2 linked regions of the Tamandua tetradactyla genome follow. The protein of the gene in region 1 binds, or shares a complex with, the protein of each later gene. Links are inferred from orthologs where the notes say so. Each region holds a gene or a part of one and is shown in the gene's direction. Other genes may lie near its edges.

Region 1 (15,708 bases):
AAACTGTCAGATCTCAAGAGTCCTTTCCCTGCCCAATGCAGCTGGACAACTCCCACTCTCAACTTTGGCAAAGACTGGTCTGGAGAAGGAGTCAGGCACACTTGAGGAGTGAGGTACTGTACTAAAAAGGGCATGAAGTGAACTGTACAAACAGGATGCTGGGACCCAAGCCCTCTTGCCATCTCCAGTTTCCAGAACATGGACAGAAAAGACTTCACCGTCCAAGCAGGAAATTAAATATTCCTTTTCTCCAGAATATGACCAGCTCCAGGGAAAAGTCCTAAAAATATAAGTATTGAAAGTTCAACACCTTAATGTCTAACAAACAACAAGCCTCACTCACACGCTTAGAGCTTCCAATTAGCTTTAAAGCCCCTGTTCTTAAAATATGACTTTACTCCTCCTTTAACCCAAGAATTACCAGACATCTGACAAAACCTCTAACATGAAAAAAGTGATCAAATTGCCACCTCCCAGAAGAAACAAACAGTAAACAGCAACTGGGGAAAGAGTCGAGGCAAAGAGAAGAAAACTTTAAAAATTAACGTTAATATATACTTAGGTATAGGAACATATTTCCACTATGCAACCAGTACTGGATATAATAATAATAATAAAAAAGGAATTTTCTGAAAAACAAAAAAAGAGCTTCTGGAAATTAAAAATGTAATAGCAAAAATTTTAAGCTTAATTGGACGTTTGGAAAATCAAGTTGAGGAAATCACCTAGAACATAGAGCTAATCAAAGACGTGGAAAACAGGAGAGAAAATACATTTTAAAAAGAAAAAGAATGAAAAACCTTAAAGGATCAATATAGGAGGGCCAATATCTGAATAATAGGAGTCATAGAAAGAGAAAAATGAAAATACAGGAAAGGAAATAATTTAAGAACATTTCTTGGAACTGAAATACATTGGTTTTCATATTGAAAGTACCCGTTGAATATTCAGCACAATGGATGAAGTTGTTCCACCCAAAACACAATCATCATGAGATTTCAGAACACTGGGAATAAAGAGAAGACCTTATGAGTCTCTGGAGAGGAAAAAAAAAAAAGTCATATACAAAGAATCAGAACTGCCTTGGGTGGGCATTGGGGGAACTGCCTTGGAGTCACAACACCGGAAGCTAGAAGGCAATAGAGCAATGCTTATTGCTATATGCAGGAAAATAAATTCCTGGTTAGAATTCTATATTCAGCCAAATAATAAATCAAGGATGAGGATAGAATAAAGCTGTCTGCAGGGTGCAAGGTCTCAAAAAATTTACCTCCCATGCACCCTTTCTCAGGAAGCTACTGGAGGATGTGTTCCACCAAAACAAGGGAATAAATCAAGAAAGATGAAAGCATGGGATACAGGAAACTAGAGTGCCAACACAAGAGACATGAAACGAGTCCCTTGGATGGTGATGGAGATAGATCCCAGGATGACAGCAGTGCACACCAGGCAAACCAGCCCAGATTTGAGCAGGTCAGAAGGCTCCGGGAGAGACTTCTTCGGGTAGTTTAAATTGATAGAATTTCTTAGACTTCTGAACTTCTTGAGAGGAGATTTAGACAGTTGGTGAAGAGTTTGGGGGTTAGATTAGTCATAAGTACTATACATAGAAAATTAAGCAAACAAAAAAAGTTGTGAAAGAAAGAAAAAAGCCTGAAGTTTACTGTTTGGTTTAGCTCTGAATGTTTAGAGTCAAAAAAATAATTTTGGTTACTGATGTAACCAATATTATAATATAACTTCTGGAAGAGTGAGGGGTTGGGAGGTGCATGTTTGTGATGCAGTCCTGGTAGGAAAGAGATCTAAAGATTGTCATCTTCTTTGGTAGGAAGATAATAGATAATGCCCCAGAATGAAAAAATCAAAAAGTAGCAATACAAATAGATTATTTGTGGACATAGATATAAGTACAAAAATAATCAGCTAAACGGGTGAATGTGTTCATCTCTGGGAAAGAATAGTATAGGGAGATGGATGTCATGAACAAATTTTGAATTTTTCTTAACAAAATTTGTAGAACTATTTGACTCTTTAAACTGTGTGCCTGAATAAGTTTGGTAAAAATGAAAAAGCAGACAACAACTGGCATAGGATTTAAGAGCATGTGCTTTAGAGTCAAGAAGATCTATGTTTGTGCCTTATCCTGTTACTTAACTAATGGTATGACCTTGAGCAGTTTGTTTAACTGCTCTAACTCCGTTTTCTCATCCAAAAAATGAGGATAATATTTACCTTGCAGATTGCTGTAAGGATTAAATGATGTAATACACATAGCATAGCACATAGCACATTCAGGTATTATTTTGGGTTGTCATTTCTCCAGTTGACAGCAAGCAATTAGAACCAGAGGAATGGAGAGGTAAACATCAGTCAGAATTTCCCATTTGTCTAGAGCAGATGGAATGAATTTTGATTCACAGGATGATCCAAGAATGAACCCTCAGGGTGTTTGGGGTCAGGATGTTTGAGTGCTAGGCTCCAAGTTAGTGTTGATTAGAAATGGCCCAGCTTGGATCATGACTTTTCCATTGACAGATCATGGAAAAAATTTAAGACGCTTACTCAGTTTTTCATCATCACTGAGAAGAGGAAACAAGTGAAAATGTGCTAAACATATGAAAGGAAAATCTGAAGTTAAAGATGAGAGAAAAACTAGAACAGGCCAATGAGAGATATAGGAATTCTGTTTCAGCCAGCCATCTTTTGTCTATATTCATATAGCCAATGGATATAGTCCTACCTGGAGACTGAAGTTGAGAGGAATTGTTTCTAAGGAGTTTATCCAGTAGGAACAAAACAGAATAAGAGGCCTTATAGAAAAGCATACTCTCAATATTTGAGAAACTACAAGAGTGTTTTATTTTCTACCTCTTTTGGATTGAGAGTTATTTAATGGAAGAAATTACTAACTGTCCCACCCTGTGCAGACCCCCCAGAATCCAACAATAGCGTGTATACTTCCTTCATGAAGTCCCATCGCTGCTATGACCTGATTCCTACAAGCTCCAAATTGGTTGTATTTGATACTTCTTTACAGGTGGGTGAAATCCTCTTTTCCCTTCCCCTTCCTTGGAGCCTCTGGTTCAATACCTAAGTCCTATCTTATCCTTGTCCTTCTGTGGGGTTAGTCTCATATTTTCCCCCGACACACCCAACCACACTATTCTTTTAAATTCCTGTCTCCTGTGTATTTCCCTTTGTGAGTGTTACTCTTTTGTCAACAGGTAAAGAAAGCTTTCTTTGCTTTGGTGACTAATGGTGTACGAGCTGCCCCTTTGTGGGATAGTAAGAAGCAAAGTTTTGTAGGTAAGCAAAAGTTTCTGGGACACAGTATATTGGCATCTTGTGCTGGGTGGGGAGAGAAACTTTGGGCTGTGCTGAGGGCTCTTATCTTGGCCTTTAGGCATGCTGACCATCACTGATTTCATCAATATCCTACACCGCTACTATAAATCGGCTTTGGTAAGGAACCCTAACCCCAGGACCAAAACCACTTGCCCTGCCCAAAGTCCCTCATTCTCATTTCCTTTCCTTCAGGCAAGCCACAGAAAGTTAATGAAGCAGGGAGATCAGGTTTCAAATTCTGTTGCTTCTGTTTCCAGGTACAGATCTATGAGCTAGAAGAACACAAGATAGAAACTTGGAGAGGTATGTAGAGGATTGGTGATTGTAGAATCATAAAGGGATTGAGGGTCTCTTGAGAAACAGTTTTTCATGATGGTATTTTGTGTGTGAACCATCCCTTTCCCCTCAGAGGTGTACCTACAGGACTCCTTTAAACCGCTAGTCTGCATTTCTCCTAATGCCAGGTGAGTTCCAGTTACCCATTTATCTAGAAGGAAAAGAGCCTTGCTATCAGCACAGTTAAAGCCCTATACCCCCAAAGATCCTAGGAAACAGGCAGAAGAGAAAAAAGACAGTCCTTCCAAACACATACATACTCTTTAGATCTGGTTTGAACCCTGCCTCTCCCCAGTCACCAGCTTTCCACAGGGTGTTTACAAGCAAACCCTGTGGAGAAATTATCTCACCATCCTCAGCCCCCAACACTATGGAAGAACTGATCATTATCCCCCCACCTTCCCACAGCTTATTTGATGCTGTATCTTCATTGATTCGAAACAAGATCCACAGACTGCCAGTTATTGACCCAGAATCAGGCAACACCTTGTACATCCTCACCCACAAGCGCATCCTCAAGTTCCTCAAATTGTTTGTAAGTGCTCCTTGGCCCAGTTCTTATTTCTGGATATACTAAGTTGGAGTGGTATCTGAGGGTAGTTTGGGGGCCTTTTAAATAAAGCTTATGGTTATTTTCTCAGATCACTGAATTTCCCAAGCCAGAGTTCATGTCTAAGTCTCTGGAAAAGCTTCAGATTGGCACCTATGCCAACATCGCTATGATCCGTACTACCACCCCCGTCTACGTGGCTCTGGGCATCTTTGTGCAGCACAGAGTCTCTGCCCTGCCAGTGGTGGATGAGAAAGGTGAGAAATTGGGCAGAAGGAGAGGGAGGGTTCTGGGAAAGTCAGGGTGGCTCTGGGAACATCTGTTTCTGCCTCACCTTAGTCAGGAGTGTGGTACTGTGGGCAAGAGGAGCCTTGGATGCCAGATACTCCTTGCTGAACTGCCTTTGTCCCCCTAGGGCGTGTGGTGGACATCTACTCCAAGTTTGATGTTATCGTGAGTGATTGTGGAGTGGGTAGGGAAAATGGGAAGGTGGGGTATTGGATATGGAGAGGGAGAAGAGGGCAGTCTTTTCTGGGACCTGAGGGTCTTAGAAGCTTCCAAGTTTTCAAATCCTATTTGAAAAAGAATCAATGATCTGGGTGAGGCTTGGGCATGGCAAAGTTGGGTGGGCTCAGGGTTTGGGGATGGTTCCTTTGCTTTTCCCTGCAAGCTCCATCCTCTGTCTTCCCAGAATCTAGCAGCAGAAAAGACCTATAACAACTTAGATGTGTCTGTAACCAAAGCCCTGCAACACAGATCACACTACTTTGAGGGTGTCCTCAAATGCTACCTTCATGAGACTCTGGAAACTATCATCAGCAGGCTGGTGGAAGCAGAGGTAGGGAGTTCAGAGACCCTGAAGGAGCTGGGGTGGGGAGGGAAACAGGCAGCAAGGGACTTAAACCTTGTGAGTGGGGCTTGGCAAGTAAGGTAGGGGATGAGGAAGCCCACCTAAACTGAGGCTGGCACTAAACACCCTTTCTCCCTTGTTGGTTTATGCCAGGTTCATCGACTTGTGGTGGTAGATGAGAATGATGTGGTCAAGGGAATTGTATCATTGTCTGACATCCTGCAGGCTCTGGTGCTCACAGGTGGAGAGAAGCAGCCCTAAGCTGGTGAAAGGGATCATGCAGCACCAGGGGATGTGCTCTGTTGGAATCACAGATAAAGCCTTGGGAGAATTGTGACTGTTTTCCCTGCTCAGGAGTCCTATACCCTTCTACTTGGGAGCTTGGGGAGGAGTATGGGAGGAAGGAGAATGGAGTTTTAATTGCCCTAACCCTCACACATATACTTGAGAAAAACTTTCCGCCTACCCTATCCCAGCCCTTGTCCTCTCAGGCATAATTCCCTTTCTAGGTAAACAGTGAACTCTGTGCCCATCAGGAAAATTCTGATCTCCAAGAGATCCCCAGATCTCGACAACCCTTGCCTCTTTCCCTGCCCCTTTCTCCACCCTAAGATAAAAGCACAACAAAACTCTGCATAAAGCTATTTTTATTCATCCTGTTTCATGCTGTATGGGAGTGACATTTCTTCCCATAATGGAAGTGGGGAGGATCGTGAGGAGGAGGGCCTTTGGGTTCCTCTGCTGTTTTCATGTGAAGGCAGATGGAGATAGGTGGAGGTGGAGGGCAGAGTGGTTAGCTGAGGTTTTTGCTTTCCACAGTGAATCTAATTAAAGTGACAGGAATCTCTTCATGGTATTGCAGTGTTTGATTTTTACAATTGATAGACACTACTGCCGTAACCTTCCTACTTCATGTGGCTTCTTTACCTCATCAAAAATAAACAACAATAATAATAGCACATACACAAATATAAAACATACTGGGCGGGCCACGGTTGCCCAGCAGGCAAGAATGCTTGCCTGCGATGCCAGAGGATCCGGGTTTGATTCCCGGTGCCTGCCCATGTTAAAAAAAAAAAAACAAAAAAAAACATACTGTGCACCGGCTACCATTCTCAGTGTTTTGCAAATATTACTTCATTTAGTTCTCAGAACAATAGTAGATACTATTTACTATTCCAGTTTTACAGATTAATAAAAAGTGAGGCATTGAGAGGTTAAGTAACTTATCCAAGGTCACACCTCCAGTAAAAAGTAGAGCTAGGATTTGAACCAGTCTGGTTCCAGAGTTATTGCTCTTTACTACTACATTAGACTTACTGCCTCTCAAATCCTTTCATAACTGTTCTCTGCCTCCCTTATTATCTCACTTCCCCTCTTGTATTATAGCTGGAACCCAAGGCAATGCCCAGAGCATAGACTGACTCTTCTTTAGACAGAGAGACCTGCCACCATCATTAACTTTTCCCAACCAGGAAAAACTGAACTGTTTTTGGATTGTGCTGAGCTGGCACTATCTTTGAACATACAAATCCCTTGGCTTTCTTCCAATGTGAGAATGAACTGGAGAACTATGGTTATCTCATCAAACCCTTTTCCCTGTGCTAAAACCATGTGGACCAAGATGGTAGGCAGCACTAAACACCAGAAGGACTGCTACCTGTTACACGTGAGCCAAATTCCAGGTACCATCCCTTGCAGGGTAATTCTTTGCCCCTATCCCCACTGTGCCTAAGCCTTTTGACGAACCCCCACCTTTACCATACTGGTTCCCCAAAATTAATCTTCTTAGCGGAACACGGAAAAGCATCAAGGGACTCAGAGCTCAGCTTTCAAGGCCATATCATGGCTATGGAAAAGTCTACTTCTGCATTCACCTCTTCACAGGTTTCACAGCAATTCCCAAACTTGGAGGAGTAAGGCTTCCAAGTAATTAGAATTGGGTATGTTTATGTGTGTGTGGGTGGGTACATGGTGGAAAGGACAGATATCTCCTCATGTCACATTCCATCATGAAAGGAGGGTTTATCTTGGCAGGAGGCAAGGACTTTAAAAAGCCTTAGGACTCTGGTGGGTCCTGGGTTGGAAGGAAGCACCTTCAAGCAAAGAGTCATCAGGGCAGCTGGTAGGTAGGTGTATGGATTCAAGGGGCAGGAGGTTGGGGGAGAGGAAATGGGACTGGCTGTTCTAGTTCTCTCTGAAGACCCATATTAGGGGGCAAGAAGCCTAGGTTCTGTTGCTCTGGTTCCCAGTAAGTCAGTCTCTGCTCCACGACAACCCTCCTGGCCCCATCCCCTTAAAAGAAAGGGTCTTACTAAAGGGCTGCAGATTCTTTAGTGGAGAACAAATTGGGATCTCTTCTTCCATTTCCCCGAAACCCAACTAACCAGTTTGAGAGTCTGAAGATGGAGCAGAGAGAAATACAAGAGACAACATTGGGGAGCCTTATAGCCTTCTATTCTTACTCCTCTCAGAAGAGGACAATTATCCCTTCTTCCTCAGAAGCCATTGCCATACACACTCTCCCACCCTCCCCTCCACTGGAGCTGCTGCCATGGTTGCCAGGCATGGTTGCTAAGTCTCTGCATGGAAGGGTTGGCGTGGGCTGTGCTGCCACTAACATTACCATGGTGAATCAAGGGACACCTGGTATAGGGTTGGGGGGAGGGATCATGCAGATATAAGTAACAACCCCCCAGGACAGAATCAGCCTAAGAGATGAGCATCTTGAGCACCACTTCAGGTAGGGGCTGAATGAGCTAAGCATTGTGGCGGTGGTAGTTAGGGGAAGCTCTAAACTGGGATATAAGGGACACTTTTATCATTTCAGTTGCTAGGGAATTGGTTTTACCAAGGGATCACACCATTCCTCCTCCATTCCCCTCTGAAAGGGCACAAGGGTATATGCACTCTATTCTGTCCTTCATAGGCTAGGTAGAGCTGCGTGGGTACAGAACAATGTGACCCCAATATCCAGGCTTCTGGATTGGGGGGAGAGAGCCTGCTTTTGAGGGTAGGGCTCCATGGTTGCTTAAGGACAAATATCTAGAATGGAAGTAGTGGGGCAGCCTTGGTCTCCAAGACAGACCCCTGTGTTCTGCTGTCCAGCAGACCTGAGCTGCAATACTGAGAAGGTGAGGAGTTAAAGGTATGGGGATCACCCTTTTTGAGGTTGGGGGAGCAGCTCTGCCCCAGAGTCACATAAAAACTGCGTGCAAGCCACTGCCGCCTCCTTCCACCGCATGCAAGCTGGTTACTCATCTCATCTCTGCACCCGAATGCCACTGCCGCTAAAAATAGCCCCCCAGTCATGGGCCAGCCCCTCCTGTACCCCAAACCCATGGAAACCAGCAGAGGGTGGCAGGCAGAGACCTTGAGTTCCATTCCCACCACCACTCCCTGCCAGGGAAACTGATGTCCGAGGCTGGAAGAGGAGGGAACCCAGGTGGTCAGCCAGCCTAACAAGCAGGAGAGTGAAGGGTTAAAATTAAAGGCAGGAAGGTTGTTGAAATAGGGGTGGGGGAGGAGGGACATTGTCAGCTTGGCAAGAATCTGAAGTCCCCCGCCTACTCATTCGGATCCCATCAGGCTTAGGGACAGGAGCAGTGGGAAGGGGCGTCCAATCCTGGGCCCCAGGGGGCGGCCGTGCACATGGGGGAGGTAGCATCACGGAGTCGTCTGCGCCGTGTCACATGCGCGCGCACACACACAGACAGGCACACACGTGTGCCTGGGTATATATAGTCCCCAGTCCTTAGGTCTGCCGCTCTGCAGTGGGCACCAGATCCTTGGGTTGGGAGGGGGCTCTCGGGGCGGGTGGGAGGGTGGGGGACCGGGGTGGGGTGGGGCAGGATGCTGGATGGTCCGCTATTCTCTGAGGGGCCGGACAGGCCCCAGGAGCCCCATGATGAGGAGTCTGGCAGCTGCCTCTGGGTGCAGAAGTCCAAGCTGCTGGTGATTGAGGTGAAGACTATTTCCTGTCATTATAGTCGCCGCGCCCTTTCTCGACAGCCCATGGACTCCCAGGCCATCCACTGGGCCCGCGGGTTCCAGAGCCGCACGTGAGTGAAGGAGGGATAAGGGGAAGAGAGTGGCTGGGTGGGGAGTAGGGTTTGGACCTCCGGGCATGCACGCACCAGCAAGCGCTGCTGGCCCCTTTAATCTTTCCCATGCCTCTCTCCCCCACCCCGTCCCGAGGGTTGCACCCCGACTCATCCTGTATTGTTTTGGGGGGACAGGAGTGGACGTGAGAAAGGTCAGGTGAGATGGGGCAGACTCTGTTAAAATGTGCATGGAGAGATGGTGAGGAGTCCAGCTTCGACTTCAGCCCTAACATGTACGCACGTGCACACACACTCACAGACACCCCTCCACACGGCTACCCCAAGTGGTCTCCAGTGCTCCCAGCTCCCCGGATCTCGGCTCCCTTCCCCCACAAACTGCTCACCTGGGTTCCTGCTCATTGTCCCAGGTGTGGGCGGCGCCCGGGATCCCCTGAGCCGCCGCCCCGCCGGCCCTGGGCCTCCAGGGTGCTACAGGAGGCGACCAACTGGCGGGCGGGGCCCCCGGCCGAGGCCCGAGCTCGGGAACAAGAGAAAAGGAAAGCGGCGTCGCAGGAGCGGGAGGCCAAGGAGACCGAGCGAAAAAGGCGCAAAGCTGGTGGGGTCCGAAGGAGCTCTCCTGGTCGGCCCCGCCTGGAGCCCCGGAACGCCCCTCGGGTGGCCCTGTCTGAAGGGCTTCCAGCTCACTTGCGGCCAGAGCGTCTCGGGCCGTTGGGGCGACCATCCCGTCCAACTGCGCAGTCACAGAGCGACCCAGGGGTGGCCTGGGCGGGGTCCTGGGGAGGTCGGCGTCTCGGGCCCCCCAGCTACGAGGCTCACCTGCTACTGAGAGGCTCTGCCGGGACAGCTCAGCGACGCCGCTGGGACCGGCCGCCACCCTACGTGGCTCCACCTTCTTACGATGGCCCCCATAGGACCCTGGGGACTAAGCGAGGCCCCGAGCCCTCCCAGGTGCCCGTCTCATCAGCCCCAGCTCCAACCCCGGCCAGGACAGAGGGAGGGCGCACAAAAAAGAGGCTGGATCCTCGGATCTACCGGGACGTCCTCGGGGCCTGGGGTCTCCGACAGGGGCGGGGCCTCTTGGGGGGATCTCCAGGTTGTGGAGCGGCCAGAGCAAAGCCGGAGCCCGGCAGGGGGGCCGCGGAGAAAAGCCTGGGGCTCACTGATGCTGGCCTGAACAGTGGTAGCGAGGGCCATTCCCAAGCGAAGGCTATGGGGAGCCGGGGCACAGAGACAGCTACCGTGGGGGCTGCAACTGCTACTCCTAGTCCCCCGTGTCCAGCTCCCAGGTCTAGGCCCCACCTCAAGGGCCCCAGGGAAGGGAAAAAAGATGGAGAACAGAGCTGGCTCCCCAAATGCTGGCTTCCGTCCCCTAAAAAACAACCGCCCCAGTATAGCCAGACTCTCCCCAGACCCTGGGCTCCAGGAGGCACCGGCTGGAGAGAGTCCTTAGGTCACAAAGAGCGGGCAGGACCCGAGGCCCTGGCGGGTTGGAAGGGAACCCAACGTGCCAATACCCTTCCCCGCAGTTCCCGCGGCCCCACTCGTGGAGAAGGCGTCTTTGTCATTGACGCCACGTGCGTGGTGATACGGTCCCAGTACGTTCCGAGCCCTCGAAACCAGCACGTGCAGCTTTTACAGGCTGGAGTGCCCCGCGTTGGGTGGGATGCTACCAGCAGTCGGAAGCCCAGCAAGGAGGAGGGCGAAGGGGCCGCGGCCTTTCCCTCCCCTTGCCAAAAGCTGCTGTTGAGCAATCGCGTTTCGCACCAGCCTGGCGCAGAGCGCGGGTGCGAAGCTGAGAGCCGGGAGTTGGGGGACTCCTCCCTGGAGGAGCGCGCTTCCCGCATCTTAGGGCTCCCGGTCAGCGAAGTGACCCTGAAGGGCGCCCCCACGCAGCCAGTTAACCCAGAACACCCCACCTTAGGCCCAGAGGCTTCAGGAGATATGGGCAGCACGGAGGGCTCGGAGGAAGTGGCTACTGTCCCGCGGCGCGCCGGCCGGGGCTGGGCGCGGACCCCCGCGCCCTACGCCGGGGCCCTTCGGGAAGCCGTGTCCCGCATCCGCCGCCACACCGCCCCAGATTCGGACTCGGACGAAGCTGCGGAGCTCAGCGTTCATAGCGGCTCCTCTGAGGGAAGCGACACAGAAGCCTCGGGCGCCTCCTGGTGGAGTGAGCGGACCCGGTGCGCGGTTGGGGGCTACACCCCGCCCCGGGAGAGCCGGAAGACGGCGGAGCTGAGCGACAGTATCCGGGAGATTCTAGATGTCAGCAGCCGAACCGAGGAGGCCCTCTTCGAGGCGGGGGACACTAAGGGGACCCCACAGGGCAAGAGGGAGCGGCAGTAATAGGCCCCTCCTTATAGTTGTTTCCCTTTCCCCAACCCATACTTGGGCCCACTGATCCTTTCTTCCCCACAGACTTTTTAGCTTCTCTTTTCCTTGTATCCCTATCCATACCCATTCCCATACTCGAAACAGCCCCCACATGAAAAGACAGGGACCATCTGCTCATTTATGATTTTTTTTTTTTTCAGGAAAAGTGAGGGTGAGCAGTAGACTACCTTGCCCGCTATATTTGGGGCACAAATGCCAGGAGGTAATGGGTCATCAGCAAGAGCTGATTTATTAGGTGTGGAACTAAGAAACCTAGCCGAGATTAGGCAGGAGGGGAGGGGTGTCCAGTCACAGGACCGCAGCATCAGGGCAGGGCCTCTGGGCAGAAGGGAGAAAGTAATGGCCCGGCTTGGGACTGAGGTTGCCTGGGTGACAAAAAGACTCTTGACAGAAGAGAAAGGGGCTCAGAAGCAGTCAGCAAATCAGAAAGAGGGCTCACCTTGGTGTCACAAGTCTTGGGTTTCAATCTCAACTCTGCTATCAATTTGCTAGGTGACTGGAAGCCTGGAGAAGGAAAGTCACTGGCTCCCAGGCCTCCTGGTATGTCAAATGAGGGAGTTTTAAGGTCCATCCTTCCATCTCTGACATTTTGGAATCTTTGGGGAGGCCTCTAACTCATACTCCCCTCCATAAGCCAAGGAAGAGAATTGGAAATAAGTGAACAGAGTCGGAGAGTCTCTAGGCAGCCTCCTTATCACCTACACTCATCCTCAATTCAGGAGACTGCCCAGAGTTTGTATAATTGCTGAGTAGGTGGGCACGGGGCTCCTATACAAGTCCCCCAGGTTTAGGTGAGGGTTATGGGAGGGAATGGCTGTGGCCCTGTCACTGTCCCTGGCTTATAGTGGTCTGAGCTGGAGAGGGAAGGCACCCATTGAGGAATCAGCTTGGGACCTCTCTAGGTCTTCTCCCTTTCCTCCTTTCCAATGTTCTTTAGTCACCACGATTTCCCAGGTGGTATTGCCCACCTGAAAGAACTCTGAGAATTTCATGTATCTCTGACTTTTCCAGAAACCGGTGAGGCAAAGAAGAGGGAGGCTGGCCTCAAGAAGCCTGTAGGTGTGGGGTGTGATGCTCTCTGTAGCCACTACGGGGCGCGCGCAGGTCGCGGATTTCCCGGGTTGCTTAATTCCCCTCTACCTGGGCACTGACAGTTAATCAATTGATTCCTAATACCGCGCGCCTGTCGGGAGCTTTGCCGCCTCCAGCCGTGTAGGACCGGGAGCAGGCCTCCGGCCTTTCAAACCTCTGGAGCGCGCCGAGCCCTCTCTTTGTATTCATCACGCCTCCCGGCTTGGGACCGAGGCACTGAAACCCTTTTCTCTCCGATCCCTTACACCTCTGAATCTGCCGTTTACCAGCCATGTGGACTTGGCCAAATCACTTCACCTCCCTGAGCCTCAGTTTCCTCATCTGTCAAATGGGGGTTTATAAACACCTACCTCGCAGGGTTGTTGTGAGGATTTAATGAGATAATCTATGTAAAGCGCCTAGCCCGGTGCCTGGCACACAGTAGGCGCTCAATAAATCTGTTTCCCTTTTCTCCAGCCTTGGCATCTTCTGCCTTTCACCGACCTTCCCCCCCAGAGTGCCCCTTCCGCAGCGCTCCTCCTCTCCCTCCCGCTCTCTGGTGGAGCGGCCAACGGGGGAAGGGACTCCTTTCTTTGATGGAACCCCCGGCACATCTCTGTCTCCCCCAGCTCGAACTCTTCGTTCCTCGCCCCCACCACACCCACCGTCTCTTTTCGCTGCTTGGCGCACCCCGCCCCCCGCCCCCCATTCCGGGCAAGGGCTGAGTCAGCCTGGGTAAATTTAGCCGCCGGCTCGGCTGGCGCGGGGGCTTAGCCCAGACTCAGTCGCCAAGTCCTGGCCGGGCCCCCTGGCCCCGCCTCTACCCCTACCCCCAGCGGTCCCGCCAACCCCGGCTCGACGTTCAGGTCCCTAGCCCCGGTCCCAAACCACTTACGGTTTTAGTCTTCAATTATCTTCCCCACCAGTACCGGGAGAGACTCTGGGCAGGAGGCGGCGGGTGGCAGGGCGTCCTGGGAGGCCGCTGGATCCGACTGAAGCCTGGACTGGCTGGCTTTGGTAGGGGTGGGGGAGGGGTTAGGTGCGAATGGGGGAAGGGGAGTTGGGGGAAAGTTGGGGGACGGAGTTCCACTTTGGGCTTCGGCACCAGAGGCGAGAGCGCTGGTCAGAATCATCCAGGAAGATCCCATCCTAGAACCTGCCTGGAACTTCATCTTAGAGATTTCTAGTTAGTTCTAGCTGGAGGAGGTAAGGGAAGTGGGGGTCACCTTGGAAAGAGATCAAAGGTTCCTGAGGCCCATCTCCCTTCCACCTACAAACTCAATTCTATCTACTTAACATTTTCTGGAGACACACTAGGAACCAGGCACTGGACTGGTCTCACAGGGCTGAGATGAGGAAGGCCTGCTTGATAATGTCCTTGGAGGAGTTTGTAATCTAAGAAAGGGGTGAACATGAAAATACACACAAAAACGACAGTATTGAGCAGTGTTAAGTGCTCTAAGGGGATCAGACAAGGGGGACTGCATGTATTTTATGAGATCAGGGGAGGTTCCATGGAGGAGGTGGCATCTGACAGGCCATTCTAGGTGGCATTCCTGGAAAGGGCATTCCAGGTGGAAGAAATAGCAAAAATACATGCATGGATGTAGGGAAACAGGGTATGTTTAGGGAATTATCAAATGGTCTGGTTGGACTGGACTTAGAGTACATTCAGGAAAGTTGTAGAAGATAAGGCAGAAGTGAAAATTGAGGCCAGATTGGAGTGAGCCTGGTTCTCCTGAGGAGTTTGTACTTTGGACCTTTGGGCTTGGAAAGGGGATGGACTTCAGATCTGAAGGAAGATTGAGGAAAGCCTGAGCAATGGTGGAGCGTCTGCCTGGATTTTTCTATAACCCAGGGGCTCCAGGACTCGGGCTGGTAGAAGAGGTGGGCCGCATGGGACAGTGGCGGGGCTGGCCTTGTGATGGTGGGCTCTCACCATGCTGCTTAAAGCCCCTTTGAGGATGAACACACCAGAGGCCAGTTTCTAAGAGCTCACCCACACTGCTACTATCATGAGAAAACTGGGGTTGTATTGTGTTAGAGCATGGTCTCTGGGGTCTTATAAGCCTGGATTTCAATCTTGGCTCTATGTCATACTAGCTGTGTGACCTTGGGCAAGTTATTAAACTTCTCTGTGCCCTCAGTGTCCTCAGTTATAAAAACGGGGTTACTGGTAGTCCTTTTCTCATAGGCTTGTTGAGAGGATTAAATCAGCCAATATGCAAAGCCCTTGGAACAATGCCTGGCACATAGTAAATTATATATAAGATTAACTATTTTCATTATTTCTCTGCAGGGTTATTTTGCTAGTGTGGGAGGTGTGGTGGCATGAGGATGGAGAAGAGCAATGGGAGAAGAGGAAGAGGAGGAAAAAGCAGCAGAGGACAAATTGAGAGGAGAAGGGAGCCCTGTGGTGGGCCCAAATAGCCCCTTGAATGGGTAAATGGCAGTCTGGGAGTACTTGGGTGGTTAGGTGTCAGTACCACATGCTCCCTGCCCCAGGATGGCCTCCAGCTTTTCTTAAGGATGAAATCAGTGCCAACTACCGAAGTTCTGGGGAAAATGAGAAAGAGAGAAGAAGGAGAGGAGTGACTGGTTGCAGGTCTGGGGGCCAGGCCCTCGTCAGCGATATCTCAGACTGTCCCTGCAGGGCTCTGTGGGTGGAAAACTGGAGGCTCCCTGCTGTGAAAATGATTTCTAAATCTGGCTGTGTCTGCCAGCGGGCCCGCCTAAAGACAGAGGCCACAGCCAGCCCCCATCTTGGGTCAGGAGTAGGGTCAGCAGATCCAGGAAGGCATGGTCAGTTTGGGGCAGCAGCTTCAGTTTAGCCCGGGACCCTACTATGCTCCCAACAGCCAGGTTCTTTCTAGGGAAGCCCCTTTCTGCCCCATATGGGGCCCAGTTACCATGCTTTAGAGGAGCTGGGAGCTTTCTCCCCTTGTCAGACTCTTGGGAGAGCACCCGGACTTTCCTAGATCAGCCACACACTTGGGTAAAGGAAATCAGGAAACAAACCATAGACAGACTTTGGGACTTCAAAAAGGTTCAGGGTGGGCAGTATGAGTGTGTATGAATGTATGTGAAGAGGAGGGATGGTT
Region 2 (16,331 bases), on another chromosome or scaffold:
ATCGAACCCGGGTCCTCTGGCCTGGCAGGCAAGCATTCTTGCCTGCTAAGCCACCATGGCCCACCTTCCCAGATCTTTTTTTTTTTTTTTACTTTTTTTTTAGGGAGGAAGGGAAGGAAAGACAGAGAGAAGGAAGGAAGGAAGGAAGAAAGGGAAACATCTTTTAAACATTTTCTTGTTTTATTGTATTTTGTTTGTTTGTTTGTTTTTTACATGGGCTGGGGCCGGGAATCGAACCGAGGTCCTCCGGCATGGCAGGCAAGCACTCTGCCCGCTGAGCCACCGCGGCCCGCCCTTCCCAGATCTTTTAATGACAAATTGCCAGTGCTGTTTGAGAGTAAATTCTCCAGCTTCAGGAAAGTTAGATCAGATATTTCCTTCCAATACTAAGACTATTATGATTGGATGTTTCTGTGAGAAGCAGAAGCACAATCAATGAACATCAATTCCATACTAAAATGAAACAGTTTAGGCTCCTTTCATGCAAAATTAATTGATATAATCCTACTGTTACAATAACCAAAATATTTGAGGTTTTTAGGTAAGGAGCATTAGCAGCATAATATAATTTGATAAGATACAGGATGGAGAATGCAGTTCCTGTGCATGTGTTTAGAGGACTTCAAATCTCTAAACATTCCTCTCACACCCTTTAAGGGGCATACATTTCTCTACATTAGTTCTCACATTGGAATACGGTCTTGTTCACTGGTTCCTACCCTTCTCTCAGCCCAGTAAAAATGTTGTAAACTGTGTTCTCACCTCATGTTTTGCTCTCTGCTGGATATAACCAATGAGTGAAAGATTCAAAGTGTCCCAACATCAATCTCTGTTGCCCCATCTCTCTTCAAGTTTTGGACTTGTATTTCCAGTTACTGAACCTAAGTTGTACACACTCCCGGAGCTACTGGGCTGAGCCCTGAATGCTGGAAACCACCGGATAAACACAGCAAATGCTACTGGAAGAACATGAATAAAGTCATATTTTATATTAATGCAAATACAAGCCCACCACAGAGTAGACATTCAAGATGAATACTTTAGATAGAAACTTAATATTTCCCATAAGAGCACTCTTGGCTGGAAGTGGGTGATTATCTTTATTAGGGTTATTTTGATAGAAAAGTCTGAGAAGCTCAGCATTATGCTATTGGAAAGCAAAATCCACTTTATAAGCACAGGTTATTATTTTCATGTGAAGATTTTAATGGACATGAAAGGAAGTTTAATATTAGGAATGGCTATGGATAAACTATGGAGAGGGTCAAGAATGTCCTATTCTACCCTCACCATCTCTCAGACCTGTCCAGACCATGCTGTCCCAATTTCTGGAAGGACCTGGCTTCTCTTCTAAATGCTGCCTTATGGCTAAATATATTCTTTCTTTTCTTCATCAATATGTGTTCCTCTGCATTCTATTCTCTTAAGCCAATAGTATAGGAGTAAATAGATGATCATTTAATACTAGAGAGGAAAATTCATATTAAGGTGGTATTCATACAATGAAATTGTAGGCGTCATCACTACATTTTGGGAAAATCTGTTAATAAACAAATTTTTATTGAGCATTTACATCGTTCAAGTGTTAAGGATACAAAAGTGAATAAGACAAGGAATCCAGCCTTCAAAAATCCAAGCATTCTTGATGTGGAAGACAGACTTGAGAACAATGAAATATCTTAGATGTCACATTTCTATAAAGGGTACACGAAGACATTAAGGAAAGGTTGATATTATCTTGGTAGGAGGAAGGAGTCAGAAAAGGCTTCTGAGGGAAGGTGGCCCTAGAGGTACTCAGAGAACGAGCTGGTATAAATAAGACAAACAGAGGGAGAGGACAGTATTTTAGACAAGCAAAGAACCGAAAAAAAAAAAAATGGCTTAGTGAGCAAAGGAAACTGTGAGCAGTTCAGGATGGTTGAAACAAAAGGTTGAAAGGGGTAGGGGAGACCAGGAACAGCTGCTTACCCTAATCTAAATACTTTTAAAACAACTTGGAAATCACTGGCTTTAATTATTTTACAAGGGACCTAGAACAGATGCTTTAATGGGGCCTTCTTTCATTTTTATTTATCTTGGAGAGACCACATTGGTTAGGTTACCCTGGGCTCCAATTCCAAGGGGTATAAAGAAAAATAAGCCTGGATGCTTGGGAAGGGGGCAGAGAAAGATAAAAAGTGAAATGAGGAGTTTGGGTTTCACTGTGTATTTAATGGACAGCAGCGACAGATTTTAAGCAAAGAAGAAAGAAGAGGACTTATAATGTCTCTCTGGTAATTATTACAGAGGTTTTTCATTTAAAGGACAGGGAGAAGAAAAAGCACAATAATATGGATTCCTGATGTTGAGGACCTGAATTAAACCTGAAGCAGTGAAGGTACAGAAAAGTGGTATCCTATAAAACTGTGGAAGGAAGAATAATGGTTCTTTAAAGATATTCATGTCCTAATAGCTGGACCCTGTGACTATGTTACATTACAAGGTAAAGAGGAGTTAAGGTTGCAGATGGAATTAAGGTTACTAATTTGCATACCTTAAAACAGGTCCTTTAAAGTGGAAGAGGGGAGAAAAAAAAAAGCTAGCAACAGAATGAGGGGGTGGGAGAAGCACCTTATAGCTATTGTGGCTTTGAAGATGGAGGGGCCACAAGCAAAGGAACGCAGGCAGCTGGAAAAGGCAAAGAATAGGGTTCTCCTTCCAGTCTTCTGAAGGAACAAAATTGCTGGCAGCAACACCTTGAGTTTAGCCCGATGAGACCCATTTCACGCTTCTGACCTCCAGAACTATAAGGTAATAAATCTGTGATGTTTAAAGTCACTGGGTTTGTGGTAATTTGTTACAGAAGTAATAGGAAATTAATACAAATGCAAGTTCAGCCTTGGCAAAAAAAGAGCCCTTGACAGAAAACGTCATTGAACATTCTCTGCTAAAGTGTAGGACCTGTCTTCACACCTACGGTTAGGCACCCTTCACCAAGCACTTTGGTTTTACTGCTTCTGGGTCCATAATCTTCCTCCCCAAACATTTTCTTAGCACATGGATAGTCTCTCTACGTCTGCTAAATTATAAAGTGCTGAATGATGTGTTCACTTCTGTTCAGAAATTTACTTTTATAAGTTTCATTATTAGGGGCATTAAATGTTAACATAGTATCAGGAGTAAGTGTTTCAGATTCACACAGACCTGGTTCAAGTAACAACTCCATGCCTTATTGTTTCCTGATTTCCAAAAAGAGATAGCAATGCCTTAGATGAGGGCCCAAAGAAGCATATGCTGAGGCAAAGATGGTATATAAGTGATTTATTAAGAAAATGCTTTCAGGAAACTCCCATAAGGCACTAGAGAAAGCAAGATAGGGAAGGGATTTCTTTCACGCAAAATTCCAGCACCAGTGTTATCTGTGGGGAGCACTGGGGTACAAATTACACCTCAGAGTTTCTTGCTACCAGAGACAAGAGAGCTGGGCTTTCGTGCTATATAAAAGACATTGGCAAAAAAAAAAAAGTCCTTGGTTAAGGGCTCAAGGAAGGGAAGTAAATTCCTAGGTGGCTCTTTTTGCCTCTCTGTGCCTGTAGGCAAAGTGGGTCCAGCAGCCTTTGGGCAGTCTTCCAAAAAGAGTCTCCTGGGCAGAGGCCTTGAGAATCAAAAGAACAAAAGACGCAGAGAGGCGAAGGAAGGCACACAGACCAAATCAAAGGGATCTTAGGGGACCTGGGAGGAACAAGCATCTACCCCATAGAACTAACTCTTCTAAGTATTGAAAGCATTCTTGCTTTGCTTTTTGCTGTTGTTCTTAGCTTTTATGATTCCTAGCCTAAGTTTGATCTGTAATAACATGCAATATCTAGTGCCATGGTCTTCATATGGAATGATCAGTGCTCAAATGATTCTTTCATTCAAATTAATGCAACAAGTATCAAACCCAGGAAGAATAAACAAGACAAATGAGAAATAAAGCAAATATGTGGGATGCCAGAATAGCATTTCAAAATGGTCATATCTTCATTCTCATATTTTTCATGGAACTGGAAACTTGAACAAAGTTGAGATGCCTAATTGCATCTCTAAAAAGTCAGACAAAATCAACCAACCAACCTACCAACAAATAATATATTTATTTGATGATAATAAATCTGGCAAGACACGCTGTCCTCCCCCCACCCTGCCCTCACCTGAAGCAATCTAATTTTGATAGCATTTTATAGCTTTAAAGTACATTGGTATATATTATTTTATGTGATCTCAAGCAGCTTTTTCATATATACCTTTGCCTACCTTGTACAGACAAGGGAGCACGTTCTGGGAGGTTAAGTGACTTGTTCAAGGTTGTACAGCTAAGGCAGGAACCCAACCTCTGACTCCCAAAATATTGTTCTCCCAAATATTGCTTCCTTTAGAGTTCTACATGATCTACACCTTATATCAGTCAAGCACTAATCAGGAACAGAAACCACACTATAATATGATGGGAAAATTAAATATAAAGAATTATTAACCAGTAAGAGAATTAATTACTAAGAAAGGTAGAGAACATGAGAGATTACAGGAATAGCAGATATACGAAGCAGCCTCTACATGTGGGGCTGTGAGAGTGTACCCAAGGAGGTAATAACTTAGAGGAATCCCACCCCCCCCTTCTCCAACTCCCCATCTCTACCTTGCAATCAGGCCTGAGAATCAGACCTCACTGGGGGTAATGTGGTGGTCCGCTGGATGGCTAAGAAATTCTCTGCAGTGTCACAGATTGGGTCTGATAAGCAGAAAATCACTTGCTAGGTGTTCTAGTTTGCTAGCTGCGAGAATGCATATACCAGAAATGGAATTTAATAAACTGCTAGTTTACACTTCTAAGGTTATGAAATTGTCCAAATTAAAACAAGTCTATAGGAATGTCCAATCTAAGGCATCCAGGTAAAGATACCTTGGTTCAAGAAAGTCGATGACATTCAGTGTTTCCTTTCAGCTGAAGGGGCACATGGCGAATGTGGCGGCATCTGCTCTCGCTCCAGGACTCTTGCTTCATGAAGCTCCCTGGGAGGCATTTTCTTTTTTCATCTCTGAAGGTTGCTGGCTGGTGATTCTGGTTCTCTCATCTTTCTGTTGTAGTTCTGCAGCTCTCTCCTTGTTCTCAAAAGGAACTCTCTCCAAAATATCTCCTCTTTTATAGGATTCCAGTAAACTAATCAAGACCAACATAGAATGGGTGGAGACATGTCTCCAACTTAACAAGTTTAACATCCACAATTGATTGAGTCACACTTCTATGGAGATAACCTAATCAAGTTTCCAACCTATTGTACTGAATAGGGATTAGAAGAAACAGTTGCTCCCACAAGATTGACGGCTTTCCTAGGGTACATAAATCCTTTCAAACCAGCACTCTAGGATACCAGTGAAATTCTCTGGGAAGCTTCCCATTGGGATGCCAGTGAGACTCATTGGGAAGCTACCCACTAGGGGGCTGGCAAAACTCACTGTAAGGTGTACTGCACTGGGTCTCTCACTCATCACAATCCAGAAGCCATTCACTAATAGCCATCCACAAGAACAAGAACAAGAACAAGGAGAAAAGCACTGGAACTGAGATAAGTGTCCTCTTTTTTGCAGTGCCCATCTACCCTCTACTGATATGGCCCAACACTGTGCCAGTTGACAAAAAAAAAAAAAAGTTACAGGTTCCATCTCTAATTATAACAGCTCAGGGTAAAGAGGAGTGGATTTGGAGCTGAGAAGCAACAAGTTAACTCACACAAACACCTCAATGATTCCTGTGTCCTGGAAGGAGAACTTGCTCTTAGGCCAAAACCCAGCCATTTTTCCTTTTTACCTCCTTGCTCCTAAAATAAAGAGCAGACCCAAACTTTGGGGATCCATTTAGTGAGAGTTGGTATGGCATATGGTAAGCACAATGGGAGGGAGTATACATAGTGATTGAGACCAGGTCTGGAGCCAAACCACCGGGATCTGAATACCAGCTCCAACACTAACTAGATTTTCAGCCTTATTAATCTAATACTCAGTTTCCTCATCTGTAAACGAGGACAATAATAGATTTACTAAGATGTCAGGAGAAATTAATATGTGTAAAGTCCATAGAACTATATCTGGCATGTAGTTAGTACTTAATAAATGTTACTATTACCCATACATGGTAAATATTGTTATTGGTATTAAAAATACATTTTTAGTTTTCTTATCAATTTCTATTTAGGATCATACCTCTAATGCTAAAACCCAGCTTATTTAAGTGAGAGCTGGCCTTTGCCACAAAGTCTTATGGACTATTAAGCATTCACTGCCTGCAACTCTGGTTTCATATCCTGCCACTGCCCCCGGCTCACTGAATAACCCCTACCAGTCCCTGCCAACTCTTTTGGGAACTGTTTTCTCAAGGAAAAAAATAAAACAAAACAAAAAAACCCACATAGTTAAACAAATCATCTTTCCTTAAGAGCTTCTATTTCTGACTAAATTTGACATCTACTTCCCAAGAAGTAGTGAGATACACTTCGCGTGGAAAGAGGAAGGAAATTAGCATTTTTAGTGCCTACCCACCTATGCCAGACAAGCACTTTGGATGCCTTACCTGATTTGATCCTCAAAATATGCCAATTAGATCAGAATATTTTACCCTATTTATCAAGTAAGGAAATCCAGGCTCAGAAGGGTCAGAAAGATCACTCTTTCCCAAGATCATGTTAAGTAGCAGAGCCTAGATTCAAATTTGGAGTCTGATTTTTCTGTTTGGGTCGACTGCACATTTTCCCTGTAATGCTTGCCTCCCACACTACCCTCATCTCAGACATCAAGAATCCTGACTGTTCAATGCTTTCCATGCTTCACTTCAGAGAGATGAGTGGGTGTGCCATGATTTTGGAAGATGTAAGGGGAGTCTGAGACGTATCATTCGAAAGTTAAGCGAATTAAATTCATTTACCAGTTACAGAAAAGTTAAAAACTCCTAACATCTCAGCAAAATTAGCTTTTGAGTGAAAATCCGAAGCCTGCCTGCATCGTTACTCCTCTGTCCTCACCTCCCCTCCTTGCTGCAAACTTGGTCTAGGACGTGCCTAGTTGGGGACAGAAAGCTAAAAGTTCCATCCCTGATTCTGCTATTTTCACCCACTAAGCCTTTCTTTTCTTTCTCTTAGAAGGAGGTTGTTAGGCCTGGTTATCTTAAGTTTTCTTCCAAGAGTCTGGGGTTTTCCTGATTGAGAGCATGTCCCTCTTGTCCCAGCACCACAGCTCCAGAGTTAAATTGTCCATTTCTCTGCGGAAGCCGCTCACTCCAAGTGCCGTCCCCCATAGCAGCCCCCTTCCTTTCCACTTCTCCTACCAAGAAAAAGAGAATCCCCTTCTCCTCGTTCTCTTAAAATTGGCTTTCAACGGACAATCCCGCCCCTCCGCTAAATTCAAACCCTGGCCCAAGGAGCCTAGGTAGGGCCTGCCCGCGGGAACGTGACGCTGCCTCAAGCTCTCCCTGCCCAGGGTAACCAGCCTACAGTTTTCTAACTTTCCCCTCCCGCTAGGGTGAATTCCGAGAACTCTGCAACGAGTTTCCAGTAAAAGTGAAGTGAGGAAGCCTCTTTCATTCTACACCGCTATCCAGGCACCAACACCCAGGTGGCCTTCTCCCGCAAAACCACGCCAGGTCTCTGTATGCCAGCTCTTTCTCACGGCAGGATCCCGCGCCAGAAGATCCCGGCGCCCGGAGATGCAGCACCAGGCACTCGGGCGCGGCCCAGGCCACGTTATTTCTGCTCCATCGGACCTCAGGTCGGAGGAAGCCAGGGCGTTCTCACCACGCAGCGGCCGAGCGCACTGCCCCGCCGCTTGGAGTCGGAGAAAAGTCCGCACTGGGCTCTCAGCCCTTCCTGCCCAGCCTCCCCACGCCGGGCCTCGGCTCCCCTCCTTTCACGCTCCCGCCTCCTCCAGTAGGCTGCCAGGCGGACCCAGCCCGCCTCTCTCCCTCGCTCTCCGCCTTCACTACCGGGTCAAGCTGCGGAGGGAGGGAATGGAGACAGCGACGAAGCCCTCCACAGCTCCCCCCAACCGGCGCACGCGCGCCCCTCCTCTCTCCTCCCTCTTCAGCCTGCTCTCTCCTCTTCTCCTCTCTCCTCCCCTCCTGCCAGTTACAGTACAACTAGTACACCACACACACACGGACCCAGCCGCTGCCACTGCAGCTGCCATGGATATCGGCTAACAACACACACCCAGGCACGCGCGCGCGCGCTCCCACTCGTACCACGCAGGAGTGGCCCCCGGCATCCCTACCCTCTTCCCACCCCCACCCCCACCCGCTCACCAGCTCGGCTACTGCTCACTCGGGCTACAGCCGCCGCCACCGCCGCCGCCGCCGCCACAGCTCTTCTCTGCTGCGGGGCCACAGCCCTGAGTGTCATTCAAGGGACAGCACAACCTCACCCATTCTCTCCTACCTCTGCCCAGCAGTCCCTCTCATCCTCCCCCCTTCCAACCTCCATCCAAAGAAGAGGGAAAGCACGGAACGGAGGAGGGGAGGAAGGCAAAGTCCGCTCTCCTCACTCCTTGGCCCCCTCTCTCCTTCATCCTCATCCTCTCACCACCAGTCCTCCCCACCCCAAAGGAACCCAGGAGCTGAAGCAACTCACCCCACTGCCATGTCCAAAAGCTTGAAAAAGAAAAGCCACTGGACTAGCAAAGTCCATGAGAGTGTCATTGGCAGGAACCCGGAGGGCCAACTGGGCTTTGAACTGAAGGGGGGCGCCGAGAATGGACAGTTCCCCTACCTGGGGGAGGTGAAGCCCGGCAAAGTGGCCTATGAGAGCGGCAGCAAGTTGGTGTCAGAGGAGCTGCTGCTGGAGGTGAACGAGACCCCCGTGGCGGGACTCACCATCAGGGACGTGCTGGCCGTGATCAAACACTGCAAGGACCCCCTCCGGCTCAAGTGTGTCAAGCAAGGTGAGCGTGGCTGCTTGCCAGTGCTTTGCTAGGCGGCGGGATAGCTCTAGGCCAAGGGGAATGGAAGGGTGGGCGCGCGCGTGAAAGGGGGTGTGTTGCGCGATGTTGGAATGGGGTCGGGAGAGGAGCGAGTGAACTTTCCGAGGGGTCCGACTCGGAGGGCTAAAGCGAGGGGAGGGGAAGGTTGCGGTATAGTGTGCAACTTTGTGCAGTTAGACCTTCCCCTCAGGAAGGAGTTTGGCCTTGTCTGACCTCTCTCACGGTGCGGTGAGCTCCCAGGGCAAATTGAATGTGCGTCAGTGACATTGCCCGCAGTGGATGGAAAGCTTTTGGGGAAGGAAGGAAGAAACCAAGGAAGGAAGGGAGGAAGGAAGGAACAACTTGAGGGTGCAGCGGCATCTCCGGAGGGGTGGAGAGCAGCGGGCGGGTGGGGGGTGGTGGCAGGGAGCGGAGAACTGAGCCCCAAATTCTGGGAGCTGGGCTGGAGACATCTTTGTCCGTGCTCTACCCTGAGTATCCCTGAGCTACTGGCTGGCAAGAAAGGAGAAGGGACAGATGGCTTTGGACGCTTTGACGGATCTTCTATAACTTTTTACCCCGCTTCATCCCTCTGTCCCCCTCCCTCCGCCCACGGTCGTGTCATGTGGGCACCGCGCGTCACGTGCGCACTGACTGACCGGGCTCTCACCCCCAGCCGGCCCTCACCAGGAGGATAGCGAAAGGAGGCGCGGCGCTAGGAACCGGTGTTATTGTTGGGGAGCAAGGGAGTAAAATGAATGTTAACTCATGCATTTTACTCAGGGGGTTCCCTTATTGAGAGGAATCCTCTGTGGTTTGGCTCTCCACTGGATCTAGATTTGAGGGGCGTGTCAGGGGAGGAGTCCGATGGAAAGGCTTCCTGGCTACAGTTCAGGCTCTCACTAGCTCCACCCGGACTAGCTGTGCCCCATTTGAAGGCTGTGATGGAATTAGGGAAACTGGGGTCTTGCAGAACTCTATTACTGTCTTTGCCTGAAAGAAAATTATAGTTCCAAAGGAGGAAAAAGTGATATAAAAGTTTGGGAAAAGAACATCAACTAGAATAAAGCAGTGTATCTTTGATGTGCACGCGTGATTGCATACCTTTTTCTAGCTCAGGACGCACCATTTCATGTGTGGTATGTGTATGCGTGCACATGCATATCAAACTAAGGGTTTGTTGTCGTTTTTACATTGCTCTGACTCAAAGATGGAATGTCATTGCCTGCATTTTGAACAACCACTTAATCCAACTACCTGAGTAAGTCTTATGGGCAATGCTTTTAGGGTGGTGTTCTTCATACAACCAGTTTTGGGTTTTATGTGAGAAAAAGTCTCGGATAAAGTTTCTTAAATATAAAGCGCCATACGAAAAAAAATTTTTTCTTTGGAGATTCTTGAATATTCATATTTGCTGATTTGGGGTGGGCTAATGTAGACATTGGAGGTCAATGTTATTTAATACTGGGTGGCACCGAAGAATATGAATTAGGTAGGAGGGGAAGTAGAGTATCTTTGTGTTTCTCAAGATTACACACCGGAGGCTCAAATACAGATATTCATGTTTGTATATTTGATGTCACAGTAGAATCTGATAGCTGGATAGCAAAGTTCTTGTCTAGTGTCCAAAAGGTCAACTAAACAACTACTGACTCTGGTTCTGTTGGCAAAGAGCTTGGTGTTTGTAGTACAGAGTGGATGCAAAGTTAATGCATTGCTAAAGTGGACTAATGATAGTGTCATAGTAAGGGAGGTGATGGTCCTACTATATTTTGTAATGATCACCACACCTTAAATGTTGTATTCAGATCTGAGCACTACATTTTGAGATGGACTTTGGCAAAAGTCCAAGAAAGACACAAGAAAGATTGTGTCCAGAAGAGAAGATAGTGTTGGGTATGCTATATATATTCCATGTAACAAGTTCAAAGTCAGCTGGGAAAAGTGAGGTCATGAAAGTGGTCATTAAATATTAAGAAGCTATCAAGAAATTCGTACTACTCTGTGATACTTCACAAGGCAAACTATGCTCAATATATGGAAATTACATGGTGAATCCACTTTACCTTCATTAAAAAGGTAAGTTTTCTACTTGCAAAAACTCTGTGGCCCACCTTGCGGGTTAATGAGCCTCCATTATTATTTTTGTTCTTAAAGAGGCCAAATGACCATACAACATGATTATCTCAGAGTGATACCTACATAAAACAGGGAACTGTATTAGATATCATTTAATCCTGCTATAACTTGCTGCAAAATCTTCTTCTATATTTTGTTTTATTTAGAAAATTATTGCTTTTAGAACTCATGGTATATTTGCATAGTTAAGTGATATATTTAGGGAAATATTTTAAAATTCTATATTAATTTTTAGTTCTGGGCTTCACTGGGCCACTGATGATTGATGTTTGTAATGATGTTCTCAGAAGCCCTCACAGGAACCTGATTCATTCTGAGTCATTATTTTGACCAAGAAAAAAAAAAAAAACAAAACTCTCAGCTCTTGGGAAAAATATAATCTTCTTGTATATTTTTAAGATATGGTGATTTATGTGTATTATTCCCTTGTTGAAATCATTATTTTCCTCTTCAACTACTAGAGTTTATTTTACTTCTCATTGGATGTGGGGTGAAATTTTTCAAATCCTTTTAATATAGTATTTGTGTGTCTTGGTTGTCACTGCAGAACTCACTTGCTGGAAAAACATTTAGAGACTCTTGTCTTAAGTAGACCTATTTCTAGAGAGCCAATGAACTAGCTTAGCTGAAAACTTTAAACATGGTTTATATACAGTTGTATTTTTAAAATATTAATAATTTATTTTTGAATATTCATTCATACATTGGGTATTATATAGAGACTACGTACATTATAATTCTACTACAAATTATAATTCTAAATTATTGTCTTTTTAAAATAAGATGTAACTAGGGTTTTAAGACATGCTAGACAAGATGCATCTATCACGGTTTTAAAATTATTTTAAATACTTTAAAATAATTATTTAAAGGTATTTAAAATAATTTCAAAAGCTGTTTAATTACATTTAAGGAATTCCTTTTTAACTTAAACTTGTCTGCTTTTAATCCACACAGTGATGAGTCATATGAAAAATGCCATTTATTATCATATCCTTTTTAATACTGTGGCTTTGTAGTATACAATAAACTTTCCTCACCAAAGTATTTAATTCAAAATGAGTAGTTCAGTTCTATGACCTCATTAATGCATCAGGCCCAGTTAAAGGAAGTTTCTTGAGTGATTCTGAAGTCTGCGCTAAGTTCTAAAGGCTTTTTGTTTGTTTTAAATTTGACACCAAAGTTCATAGCAGCCAGTTACATAGACCATTGTGTTCTATATTCCTTGCAATATGATTGCTAATGCATCTAATACCACATGGGGACCAACTTAGTCTGGACTTATTTTCCCATGGGGACCTTACAATAGAGAATAAAAGGCCCCCCAAAAGAAGTTTTCCAATTCTTCCAAGTGAAAGAAGGGCCAAATAATGCCTTTGAATTTCAGTTGTATAGAATATCTGCATTGCCCTCCATCATATTACTCTTTAAAGACATTTCCAAGAGGAAAGCAGGTCTCCATTTATTGAATCATGCTTCTTCTCTGACCTCAGGCTGGTATAAAGTTAAGCCCATATGCTTCTTTTTGTTTGGAAATGTAAAAAAAAATTGCCAGATTTTCTGCCAATAAAGATGGACTTTCCTCCATAGAAATTTGAGGTATGTGAATTTTATTGTTCGATAAACAATAATTATTTAAACTCTTTGATCAGTTAATTATTTTAGTAATAAAATATTTTTGATGTTTTGACGCAAGTTAAAGAGACAGTTATGTTTATACGTAATTATCAGGGAAGCCACTGTAGTTTTTCAGTATATGTATATAATTTAAATGGTATGACCTTCACTGTTAAATATGGCTTTTTTATGTGTTTCTTTTGAACGAATGTAGTCTCAGGGTGAAATCACAACTATAAACATTTAAGTGTCACCATCTCTGCTTTTAACATTTGCACCATGCAATCTTTTCTCACATTTATTATGCTCACTTTCCTTTTTAGTTGTTTGAAACTCTCACATTCACTTTCATAATGAGCAAAAAGTTTTCACATTTGACATTCTTGATTGCTTGTAGTTTAAACAATGGCTTTTGAAAGCATAGCAAACCCTGGCTGAATTATTTCCCCCGGGATAAGGGATAGTGTGGTGGTTAAATGTAAAACTCAAGCAGACTGCTGAGTCTGGATATATCACTTAGTACTGGTTGTGTGAGTAAGTTACCTAACCTGGGTTGTAACAGTATCTTAAGAATACACAAAAGTTGCACATTTAAATCATGTAGTGTCGGAAAGATAGTAAGTGCTGTGTAAATGATAGCAAATACTGTTCCAAATGTGTTGGTCATTTTTAGCTAGTGACATTATGATTTTATGAAGCTTTCATATTTTACTCATACTTGAAGACTAACTGAAAAACATGAAATGATTTACTAATTTACATTATGAGTAATGTTTGAAGTTATATTCTTGAAGTGAAGAATAACGTAAACCCTTTTCTTTAAAAGCTTCAATGTGAAGAGAGTGCCATTAAATAGAATGGAGTATATTTTCACTCTTTAAAAATAACTTCCACTGATGCTGCCTTTATGTGCAAAGATCTACTGTTTTTTATTTTATATCTTAGCCATACTTTATTTGTCATCCTCACATATGACTGGAGTTAGATGTAAGTATCATATTTTAATGCTGAACTTGTACTTCTCAGCTACAAAGCAAGTATCTTATAGAGAAGAGCTGTTACAAAGCAAAATTAATTATAGATATTCACAGAAAAAATATGTAATGAAAAAAAGATACCATATATTGAAGTTCATCAAGAAACTTTCTTTGCATTTGTGAGAATGACATTAACTCAGTATAAATAAATCAGTGTATGAATACTGATACAAGATTCAGCAAATAATAACATTTCTCCTATCAGTATTTCACATGCTAGCATTTTAATTGATTAATCCCATCTCAGAATTCAATAGAAACTGCTACCTTGAAACTCTGGCATCCAATATTAACTTTCAAAAATCTTTCTTAGCTACAATCTGGCTAGTTTCCAGGACAAAAAGCATGGAACAGAGCCTTACAACTTTCTTCGTATTGTGACATTTTTGTACTGTTTGTTTCATTCCATTCTTGGCTCCTTCTCTCTCTTCTGTCTCCAGTAAGGACTGATGTGATATTTCCTGTACTAAAAATAAATTATAATTCATATATAGAATTTAGGAATATTTTTGTAAATATTCCTGTGGTGATTTTCACATAATTAATACTAGGTGTGTTAGAGAGGTATATGTACTAGCTAATAACTGCTTTTAAATGCTCATACCATCATAGAAAATTAATATAGGCTACCAATATTACTTTTCATTAACAGTGATCAATTGTTTGTAAAGGTACTCCAGTTGGTCATTAAAATTTTTAAACTTAATAAATCTGTATTACATTTAAAATATACTGTTGACTTTTTTTAGGTGAGTCTGAGAAAAACGGTAAACGTCTCCTCCTTTGGCAATTGATTGATTATTAACTCAATTGCATCTAACATCTATTTTCAAAGAGCCATAGGCTAATGAGTTTAAATGAATGATTGCATTTGCAATATTTGAAACAATTACATGGCTTGCTCTATATTGGGAATTGTTTTATGAATCCATGTGAGTGTTGTGTGGTTTCGGTTGCTTTTGGTTATTTCTAAAAATACCACAGCAATCATTTTATGTCCAATAATAACCAAAACCAGATATGGGACAGGAGAAAAAATAAACAATTCTTTTTGAAGTAAAAGATATTTTATAAATATTAATTTTCCTAAAAGCAAAATTTGGGAGAGAATTTTATGAATATTTTAGCTGCCTTTAGTGAAACTAATGCAATATAAAAAATCCATAAATATTCACAGATTTTATTAAATGACTTTTGGCAATGAAATAGGAGGGAACAAATCTATATAATTAAAAAAATAGAATAAACACATTACGTTGTGTTTGAAGAAGTTTCTCATAATATAACTTTCCCAAATGCTACATTGAATTATTTATATTGCCATGGATCACAGGTAGCGCAAAAGCTGTTTGCACTCTCTTTTGTTACATAATAGACCACACAGTATGTCTGAATAAAAATATTAAATGCCAAAAACAATTTGTGGTAGTTAGATTCAGGTGTCAACTTGACTAGGTGAAGGTGCCTAGTTCTATTGCTGTGGACATGAGCCAATGGTACGTGAACCTCATCTGTTCCGGATTACATCTGCAGTCAGCTAGGAGGCATGCCTGCTGCAGTGAATGATGCTTGATTTAATTGGCTGGTGCTTAAATGAGAGCGCTCAATGTAGCATAGCCAAGGCAGCTTAGCATACCTTATCTCAGCACTCACAGCTCAGCCCAGGCCTTTGGAGATGCAGAAAGAAATCACCCTGGGAAAGTTGTTGGAACCCAGAGGCCTGGAGAAAAGGCCAGCAGAGAACACCTGGTGCCTTCGGCCATAAGAAAGAACCTCAGTTGAAAATTGGCTGCCTTTCCTTGAAGAACTATACGTATTTAACAAAATAAATCTCCTTTTATTAAAAGCAAATCCATCTCTGGTGTGGTGCATTCTGGCAGCTAGCAAACTACAACACAATTATATATGTTTAACATTTATTTTTCATGTTATAGATGAGTGGTGTTGCTTATCTTCATGCTTTGGCTTCCTGTGCAGAGGACTGTAGCCTAGCTGGAGCATATATGAACACAAGGTTATATGTCAAAATCTGATTAGTTGGATAGCAAGCATGAACAAGTTTCAGAGAGGAAATGCCCAATATTGTATCTGTGGAGCATTCTGATCCGCGTACATTTGACCTCAGTTCGCCTTTTTCTGCAGTCTATTCTGTAAGGGTGTAAAGCAACTCGAGCAGGCAACACTTCTTCAAGAGGTAACCAAATGTTTAGGCTTAAAGGTTCACTAAGCTCTCCCCAAAGTCTTAACTAATGGGGTAACTATAATCTTACCTTTCTAGCACATGAGGCACTTGGAAGGTAGTCATTTGGTTGGGTGGGAATGGGGTGTGAACAGACTGAAGGAAGTCGATCCTCTCTGGATGAGTAAGAATGTTATCGAAGATGGTCTTCCCCATCTACAGGGAACGACTAAAACCTTCTTTCTTAGCTTTCTTCTGAGACATTATTTATAGCTGGATCTCCTTTCCCTCTTTGGTTGTAAGTATATATATGCTTTCCTTTTCTTCAATTCAGTTTTGGAGAGTCATGCTAGGGAACTAAAAATTTGTTCAGCTTCTTTGAATATGTGAAACATGTA

Evidence for each region.
Region 2: the proteins of DDN (region 1) and MAGI2 are in contact, whole or in part, in a crystal structure (PDB 6KKG), measured with the Mus musculus proteins. The link is inferred for Tamandua tetradactyla from reciprocal best matches to the Homo sapiens genes DDN and MAGI2. Residues at the interface, in NP_001013763.1 of Mus musculus: Asp222, Arg223, Pro224, Pro225, Pro226, Tyr227, Val228, Ala229, Pro230, Pro231, Ser232, Tyr233, His237, Arg238, Thr239, Leu240, Gly241; in NP_001164217.1 of Mus musculus: Glu308, Met309, Ala310, Tyr311, Thr312, Glu313, Gly315, Tyr318, Ile320, Asp321, His322, Lys325, Thr326, Thr327, Ser328, Trp329, Asp358, Tyr361, Tyr364, Val366, Asp367, His368, Arg371, Arg372, Thr373, Gln374, Phe375.

Annotation. Positions count from the first base shown.
Region 1 is NC_135333.1:109,879,617-109,895,324, reverse strand, and holds DDN (dendrin), read left to right. Parts: upstream 1-8,933; coding exon 8,934-9,142; intron 9,143-9,552; coding exon 9,553-11,488; downstream 11,489-15,708. Other genes in the region: PRKAG1 (5'-AMP-activated protein kinase subunit gamma-1), read left to right, coding at 2,928-3,037, 3,225-3,306, 3,404-3,462, 3,603-3,648, 3,755-3,809, 4,090-4,216, 4,323-4,488, 4,647-4,684 and 2 more. UniProt on the Homo sapiens protein: Promotes apoptosis of kidney glomerular podocytes. Podocytes are highly specialized cells essential to the ultrafiltration of blood, resulting in the extraction of urine and the retention of protein.
Region 2 is NC_135327.1:138,416,036-138,432,366, forward strand, and holds the start of MAGI2 (membrane-associated guanylate kinase, WW and PDZ domain-containing protein 2), read left to right. Parts: upstream 1-8,314; 5' UTR 8,315-8,642; coding exon 8,643-8,943; intron 8,944-16,331. UniProt on the Homo sapiens protein: Seems to act as a scaffold molecule at synaptic junctions by assembling neurotransmitter receptors and cell adhesion proteins. Plays a role in nerve growth factor (NGF)-induced recruitment of RAPGEF2 to late endosomes and neurite outgrowth.